Linked DNA regions of Bombyx mori. The protein of the gene in region 1 binds, or shares a complex with, the protein of each later gene. Links are inferred from orthologs where the notes say so. Each region holds a gene or a part of one and is shown on either strand. Other genes may lie near its edges.

Region 1 (4,094 bases):
GTATAAATAATTGTTTGTTTATTTAATACTAGCGACCCGCCCTCGCTTCGCTTCGGAAACATTAAAACACACATGAAACCAAAAAAAAAAAAAAAAAGTAGCCTATGTTCATCAGGGACAATGTCGGCTTCTAATGGAAAAAGAATTTTTCAAATCGGTCCAGTAGTTTCGGAGCCTATTCGAAAGAAACAAACAAACAAATCTTTCCTCTTTATAATATTAGTATAGATAGTATAGATTTAAGATTGGTATTTAAGTCCCTAGACTAATCTAAATTTGAATCATATGATAATTAAGCCAGTTTTATCAATACAAGCATCATGTTCTTCTCCTTCAACCTCTTTCACAAATAATATCTACAATACTAGGTTCCATTAGTTGTGGGTCAACGCATCTCAACTGTGCTGATGCTAAAGCATCTTCAAGCAAAGCATTTAGAAGCCTCTCATCATTGCCCATACATGAAAGCCTTTGCTGTAGAAAGTGAACATCAACTTGTAATTGCTGTAGGCCATGCCTTCCAAATGTGCGTAGGCGCACACATTCAACTAATGCTTTCAAAGCTACTTTTAGGGCACCATTTGATAGTGCAGCTCTGTCTGCCCCTGCAGGACTAAACACTTCAATTCTTTCAGAGAATATCCTATTAAGAGGTGAAAAAGAAGAAGGAGCACGTGACCAAATAGTACGCCGACTGGAGTCACTAGAAGGTTTAATACTAGTTGGAAACAGTTGAGATGCAGCACCATCAGCACTAGCTAAGGTCTCCACTACTCTTCTGCATACTGCTCTTGGCCCCCTTGGTTCTGGAGCTCGCAACCAATCTCTAGCTAATACAGATACTCTCAACATTTGGGCTGCAGTCTGGCCAATAAATACAACTTCTGAATCTAGTGCAGTCTGCGCTGCAGTAGATAAGTGGACCATGACACTACTAGTATCCTTGTTATCCACAGTGAGGCCAGGAGCAGCCTCTTCTAAGAGTTTGAGAAGATGGTTCTGTAATGTCGAGACACCAGTCTCTTGCATATCCAAACATAGCTTAGCTAGTATAAGTAGCAATTCAAAAGGAATGTTGTTATTTGAAGTCTGAAGGCAAGCCATCTTTTTTACCAGATCAGAAAGATTAGCCATAGTTTCATTTATGACTTTTGAGCAAGCATCAGCTACTGCTTTTGCACACCAAGGTTTTAATCCAAATGATAAATTATTTTGTAAGAATGCCATTAGATCTAAGAGTGAGGCTTGGATTTTTTGCATCAGATATACTTGAAGGGAGTTCAGTATATCTTTTAAGTCAATTGTTTCTGATCCTTTACTGGCCAAAGACTGCCTTACTTTCATAAGACTGTCTTTAAATTGAGTCTGTATGCTCTGGTACTGTACCATAGCCTTGTGATTTATACACTGAATGACAACCTCAGTGCCTTTACTGGACATCATATCACTTGATGATATTTCGGTCATAGCCTGGAGTTTTCTGAAGAATTTATCAAGGCCCCTTATTAACATTTCAGTTCCGTTGTTCTCAGGTCTTTTAATGACCTCTTCGAATAAATGAAAAATTTGAATCATTATTTTATCAGCAAATTCGGGTATGATAGCTTCCTGTTCGAACATTTCATTGTAACATGATATTATAATAGCTAAATCAGCCAACAATGTATTATTGCATTTTTCTACCCAGTCCAAAATGTCTGTATGTTCAGCTATAGAACTGAGCATCTGCAAGTGTTTGTCAAGACGACTCTCTGCACAACTAAGGAATATATCTTGTAAGGATGAATCACTTTCTTGGAGCTGCCTTAAAAGGGCTACACTTTCAGCAAGTTCAGTTGCAGATGTATTAGGACTGATAAGTCTTTCACGGAGTGTCTTCTTCAGTTCAAATATAATTTCTGAACACTCAGTCTGTATGCTTTGGAATGAAGGCTGATTGCCATATTTTTGGAGTACTCGCTGAGCATGTGAATAGTCTTGTACAGCATCACTGTATCTGCCTTCTGCTATTGCTTTGTTAAGTTGAGAAGGTAGAAGGAAAAGGAACTGAAGTTTATCTAACAGCTGTCTTGTACCACACAAACGTCGAACATTATTACCGCTGCCTTGGAGATTTTCAGATATTTGAGAGCTGAATGTAGTTATTTTATTGATATTCTCGCTAAGTTTATTCATTTCTTCTTGCATTATTTTAAAATCGGAACGCATTTTGCGTACAGTTTCGGTCGCCGAAATAAATTTATTATAATTTTCATAAACCAATGTCTGCATTTCTGATTGTAGAAATTGACTTTGAGTTACAATTTCCGCTTCTTTGTCCATTACTTGCTTTAGGGTAGCGCATTTTAGAAGACAATCTAAGTAGACGTCTGGGCTGAAACTACTGCTGTCGATGTCCAGAGGATTTTCTTTAACCGCTTTGGCTTCCTCCATATTATGTACTTTGTTCAATAGGTATAAAAGTGATTCGTTTAAAGCTAATCTCCTTAATAAAATATATTTGCGGTTTATTGGTTCGTCTGCAATTCTAATTTACCAAAGAGAATAACTATTTAGAAACACAACATTTCAGCTGCGAGGACTGACGTCGATAAGACCTTATGAGAATGAGAACAATTATGTTTATTTATACTATTTCCTACTTTACTAATACTCCGTCTTATAAATGCAGTTTTAGAATAAACATTAAAGCTTATATATTTTATTTCTGTATATACAATAATGAACATATGTATACATTGTATACTATACATACATATAGGTATGTACGTTTGATAATATTTCCCCATTTTTTTAAATAATTTTTTCTGGCTTGGAAACAAAGTCTTTTAAGCCAAATTAGCTTTTATTATTAAAATTTATGCAAGGTAATCTTTATCATACGTACTGCTATGTACTGCGTTTTTTGAATATTTTATGACTGGCCTGGTAACAAGACCTTTAAGCGAAGTACTCAGTACTTACTAGTCCACTGAGTTTCTCGCCGGATCTTCTCAATGGGTCGCGTTTCTGATTTGGTGGTAGATTTTGCAAAGCACTGCTCTTGCTAGGGCCAGTGTTAGCAACAGTTTGAACCGGTTTGAACCCTGTGAGCTCACCACGTCAAGGCGAAGCTGAAATAGCCTCTCAAAGCTATCAGCATTGGTAGGGAAAAGTACTTATATTCATTTTAATTATATTACTTATGAGCATACACGGGTAATGCACTAAATATAGAAAAGAACCACGGGTACTGTATTATTTCCTATGGTAGTTCAGAAGATCCATGGTGGAACATCCACGCAGCCTTCCTCTTCTTCTTATTACGTTATCTCATGTTATTGCCCTTATCTCACTTCTTTTAATTCTCTTTTAATTCTTTTAATATATCCCATCGCTCCTTTTGAGTTTTCTGACAACAGCCAGCCTTTCATAACAAAATATTTGGTTGTATAGTCAAATATATCTTTGCCTATAATAACGAATCAACCAAAAAAATATATTTTGAAGTTTGTGTGTTTAAATTTGAAAACTTTCTGTTGCGAATTGTTTTGTGATTTTTTTGCTAAAATACTTCTCATATACAATAGAAAACTTGGGAGCAAAAAACGTAAGGATGGCTCCTCGAGATGTCCCCAAACCTACGCCTAAAGTGCAACGAATTGTAGGGAAGACTAATCAGACTAAAGGACGCGCTTCGCCTGCGTCTGTTAAGAAAACGATGTCGTCTATCAAAAAGGCGACTGACAAGATACCTTTAAAATGTAAGATTCCATTTTTACACTCTCGAGGTGAATCTATTCAATATCTCTTCCTTAGGCTTGAGGTTTGAATTTCCAAAGATTTCTCAACGGATGTTCTTCAATTCCGAGAGCCGTAGGCCTTTAATTAAAATTTTTTTTTTTAAATCTCGTTTAAAGTTTTCATTTTATTATTTCCGACTTTTAGTGATCACAAACGGCTTATGTATTATTCGCCAACATTTGCATATTGCTCTAAGAACGATCTTATCAAGAGAATCAAACTTGAAATCCTTAAAATGCAAATTGTAGTTCCTATTTACATCCGAGGACGTCGTGTATTAAAACCAAATAACATAAGTAGCAACTGAAAAA
Region 2 (4,027 bases), on another chromosome or scaffold:
CGTAAGAGAAGATCTAGGTTACTGTTCTCTATTCTATTCCTAAATTAGTTTTTGACGAACCCACCACCGGACGAAATTGTCTTATGACAAGATGCTAGATTTATCACAGTTATTATTGTATGCATACATACAAATCAATGACCCTTTAAACCCAAGAACTTAAGCGATGCTATTTGATGATATCAATTTAATATTAGGTGAATTCTGTGTAATTTGGGCAAGATCACGAAACAGATCATTAGCATGTATGCCTGTTAGTTCAAATGTGAATGACCTATCCTATCCTATGACCGCTATATTTTCAGTTTTCCAATTTTTTTGGGGTCTAAATAAATCTCATTACATTGCAACTTGTCACTTTTCATTGCTCATCTAGAATAATAGACCATATAATAAGGTATAAACATAATATTCATGTAACTAATACAAAATTATGTGAATGTCCTAACAGAAAAGTACTCTTGTATTGATATTTTATTAATGAATTCTAATAATGATAAGATGATGTGTAAGTTTTCTCAGAGTAAAATACTTCTAATATGAACGCTGCATATTTATAATGGGAACTGCTTACTTGTGTTTGTAAAGCTTTCATGCATTTCTGCTTGATGGGAAAGACAGTCATTGTATAATACAACTGAAATCTCTACTTCATGTCACCAAGCAGGTGATGGCAGATTGCCACCATAATGTGATATGGTATCTATGAATTGTTGTCATGACTAATAAACAGCAAGTGGACTCATGTGACAAACTAAAGAATTATAAAATAAAATTTTAAGAAGCTAGTGTGAAGGTAAGGAATTTGTAAATAATATATTAAATAACCCGAAATAACAAAACATTAAGGACCATGAAAATTAGTAATGTTGGAATTTGAGATAGCACAAATAAATCTAATGGAATGTTTTTGTTAACATTTAACTGATAAGTTTATCAATTTAAAAAGCATCTACAACAAACACATACATCATCACTATTTTACAAAATATAAAATAATTTTAAAGGATATTTATTGTATCTTCTAAATCTTCCAAATCCCATTCAATGCTGCGCAGTGCATTTTTCAATTCAGTCGAAGTCCATTCTACTTCTGGACTACTTGCAATTATTGGAGTCTTACAAATCTCCTGCCAGCGTAGGTACAAACCACGAGTCTTATTCAGTGCTTTGAACACCTCACTGTGTCAGAAAAGTACCAAAAGTTAATATAGTAAGTCAAAGCTGATGTCATATACAAAATATATAGGGTTTCACAAATATTTTGAAAAACTCCTTGAGTATTGTGTGTCTAAAAGAAAAGTTAATTTCGTTCTTAAGTACTACATTTGTTTATTTATTTTATTATTTATTACTTGGGTGGACTAGCTCATGTCCCATTTGGAGTTAAATAGTTACTGGAGCCCACAGGCTTATAGAATGTAAATGTCACCACCCACCTTGCGATATGAGTTCTAATGTCTTAATTTTAAAGTACAAAGGCTGCTCCACCCTTCAAACAGAATCACCTACCAGTGGTACCTACCCCTGCGGACTCACAAGACGCTTACCACCAGTAAAAATTAATCACATTTCACCAAATCATTTCATTCAATCAATCATTTGATCCAACAATCAACAAAGCATTTGAATTTTTAACATTCCTCGTCCGAATTTGAAGCAAAAGCTCTTGAGAACATGTCAAAAACCTTCAAGTCATGGGAGTAACATCAAAATTTGGTCATTAGAAACTTACTGCTGTAGCTGAGTTTGAAATGAACCTCCCTCTAACATGTTTTCTGACAGCTATGACATGTCTTTCTTCAAACGAGATGTAAGTGTCCTCAAAATTAGGCATCAGCTTGGCTGTACCCTTGAAATTGCTCATGTACATAGCTTATGAAGGTTAATTACCATCAGATGGATCATACGGTCTTTTTACAAAGGCAATAAAAAATGATAGTTCTCAAAGTATGAGCCCATTTACTATTTAATTCTTCCTATTCCTACTATTTAATCCTACAATTATTTATAATAATCCTATAGCCATATACATAATGTTAAATGTTATTATTTCTCATAAGATCTTTCTACTTGAAGATCAATAAAGCAATTACTTAATATAACAGTTGAATGAGTTGTTAATTAGTGTGTTCACCCAAATATGTAATAAAAAAAATATTAAAATCTAAGTATCTATTTTGATGTGCAATAGCAATAGGACATTTTGTAACGATATTTAAAATTGTAATTTAATAAATATTCAATTTATTTAAATCCAATAAATTTTAAGTTTCATAAATATTATACTGTATATATATTATAAGAATATTAATATTGGATCTTCTATGAAAATTTTAAACTTTCTCATCACATACTTAAACAAAGTTATTCATTTTGCTATTAAAATAGCTATAAAAACAAGAATAAACAAGACCTGTACTTTGTCAGTTTTTCTCCTCCTAGCTGATATTACTTTAGGTGATGTCTTAGAAGTAAAACTAGACTAGATTGAGTTGATTTCGTACTTTTATGTTACTTAATTATAGTCCACAAATGACACTTAATTATTTTAAAGTGTGTTACATTTATTTTTAACAGTAAAAAGATGCACAATACTAAATTCGTTTTCATTATTAAATCAATATTCGTATATAAACCTTAACTTCAGCCTTTGCTTTTTGCTACACAGTATCATGTAATATTCAGCACCACCCACTGGAAACAATTACCTTACCCTAGCTGCAATGCCATCTATTAATATAAATGAACAGTTACTTTACTCCACTTACTCTTTAACGACGTAGAAAGGATCTTCTAAAGTCATGTCAACAAAAAATAAAACAAAAATTTTAAAAGAACCATGTGATTGTGGATTTTCTAAAATTTTAAACTGTAAATTTAACCATAAATGCACACTCTCTTACACTCGTACAATACCTCGGCTTGGCGACCAACCCACAGAATATCGAGTGTGATACCTACCCTGTTTAAAGCTCGCTCGATGAAGCCTTATTCTCTATCCCTTGCTCGCTCATGTAAAATGCAAACAGCGCAGAGTGGCAAAACGCTCTGCAGTGCGCAACCGCAGAGGACTTATTTCGGGGCGGGAGAACTCACAACAAACCCTGCTTAGATTCACCCCACAATAGCCCCACACTATCAATCTATTACCACCTCGTTGCCTCCCTTCTTTCAGAGTTCAGTTTTGGTTTTGTCACTTTTTTTACTCTAGAACTTGTATTGCTGCACAATATATAGCTGTATGTAACTAATACACTTCGAATTTTAATAATTAAATATAAAATGTATCATAGTACAGTGTATAAAACAAAACTTCGAAAAAAAATAGTGATTTTGTACATACATTTATTGTATTTATAAACTTTTTTGTTATTGTTGTACATTATGAATGTTATTGTCTATGGTACAATATATGCTTCCTAATTCAAACCTATAGAGCACAAAATTCTGGCAGCTGTTTGCACGTACACCCTGATCACATTTTTCTTCCTAAAAAAGATGCTTACTCCGAAGCAATATGTGAAGCGCACCAGCACCCGAACTGATGACCACGACACGACCACTCTCCCAAGAGTGCATACGCCTGAAAAGAAGAAGAATCAGAACCAGACTTATGTAATAACTATAAAGCTAAATATTTTACGTTGTAATTATTTAAGGAGAATTGTTGAATTATAAAAATAATAATTATGCAATCCAGTGAGTCCGCATGGGTAGGTACCACCACCCGGCCTATTTCTGCCGTGAAGCAGTAACGCGTTTTGATTTGAAGGGTGGAGCAGCCGTTGTAACTATATTGAGACCTTAGAACTCATATCTCAAGGCTGGTGGCATCATTTACGTTGTAGATGTCCATGGGCTTCAGTAACCATTTAACACCAGGTGGACTGTGAACTCGTGCACCCATCTAAGCAAAAAAAAAATCATTATCGTTAGCTTGAATACGTGAACTTAAATTAATTCTGTCGCTGACTCTTATTCCGGATTGTTAACAACAACAAAATTTAGGAATACAAAGTTCTGA

What was found. The genes of interacting proteins can lie anywhere in the genome.
Region 2: the proteins of vacuolar protein sorting-associated protein 51 homolog (region 1) and Syx6 are in contact, whole or in part, in a crystal structure (PDB 4J2C), measured with the Homo sapiens proteins. The link is inferred for Bombyx mori from reciprocal best matches to the Homo sapiens genes VPS51 and STX6. Residues at the interface, in NP_037397.2 of Homo sapiens: Ala33, His34, Met36, Leu37, Leu39, Tyr40, Tyr41, Gly42, Leu43; in NP_005810.1 of Homo sapiens: Met3, Glu4, Asp5, Pro6, Phe7, Val9, Val10, Glu13, Trp59, Asp60, Asp63, Leu64, Glu66, Thr67, Ile70, Val71, Phe78, Arg88.

The regions. Positions count from the first base shown.
Region 1 is NC_085115.1:1,408,555-1,412,648, forward strand, and holds vacuolar protein sorting-associated protein 51 homolog, read right to left. Parts: upstream 2,804-4,094; 5' UTR 2,434-2,803; coding exon 334-2,433; 3' UTR 2-333; downstream 1-1. Other genes in the region: uncharacterized protein LOC101737848, read left to right, coding at 3,596-3,770. UniProt on the Homo sapiens protein: Acts as a component of the GARP complex that is involved in retrograde transport from early and late endosomes to the trans-Golgi network (TGN).
Region 2 is NC_085107.1:6,217,332-6,221,358, forward strand, and holds the start of Syx6 (syntaxin 6), read right to left. Parts: upstream 2,807-4,027; coding exon 2,772-2,806; intron 1,183-2,771; coding exon 1,012-1,182; intron 1-1,011. UniProt on the Homo sapiens protein: SNARE promoting movement of transport vesicles to target membranes. Targets endosomes to the trans-Golgi network, and may therefore function in retrograde trafficking.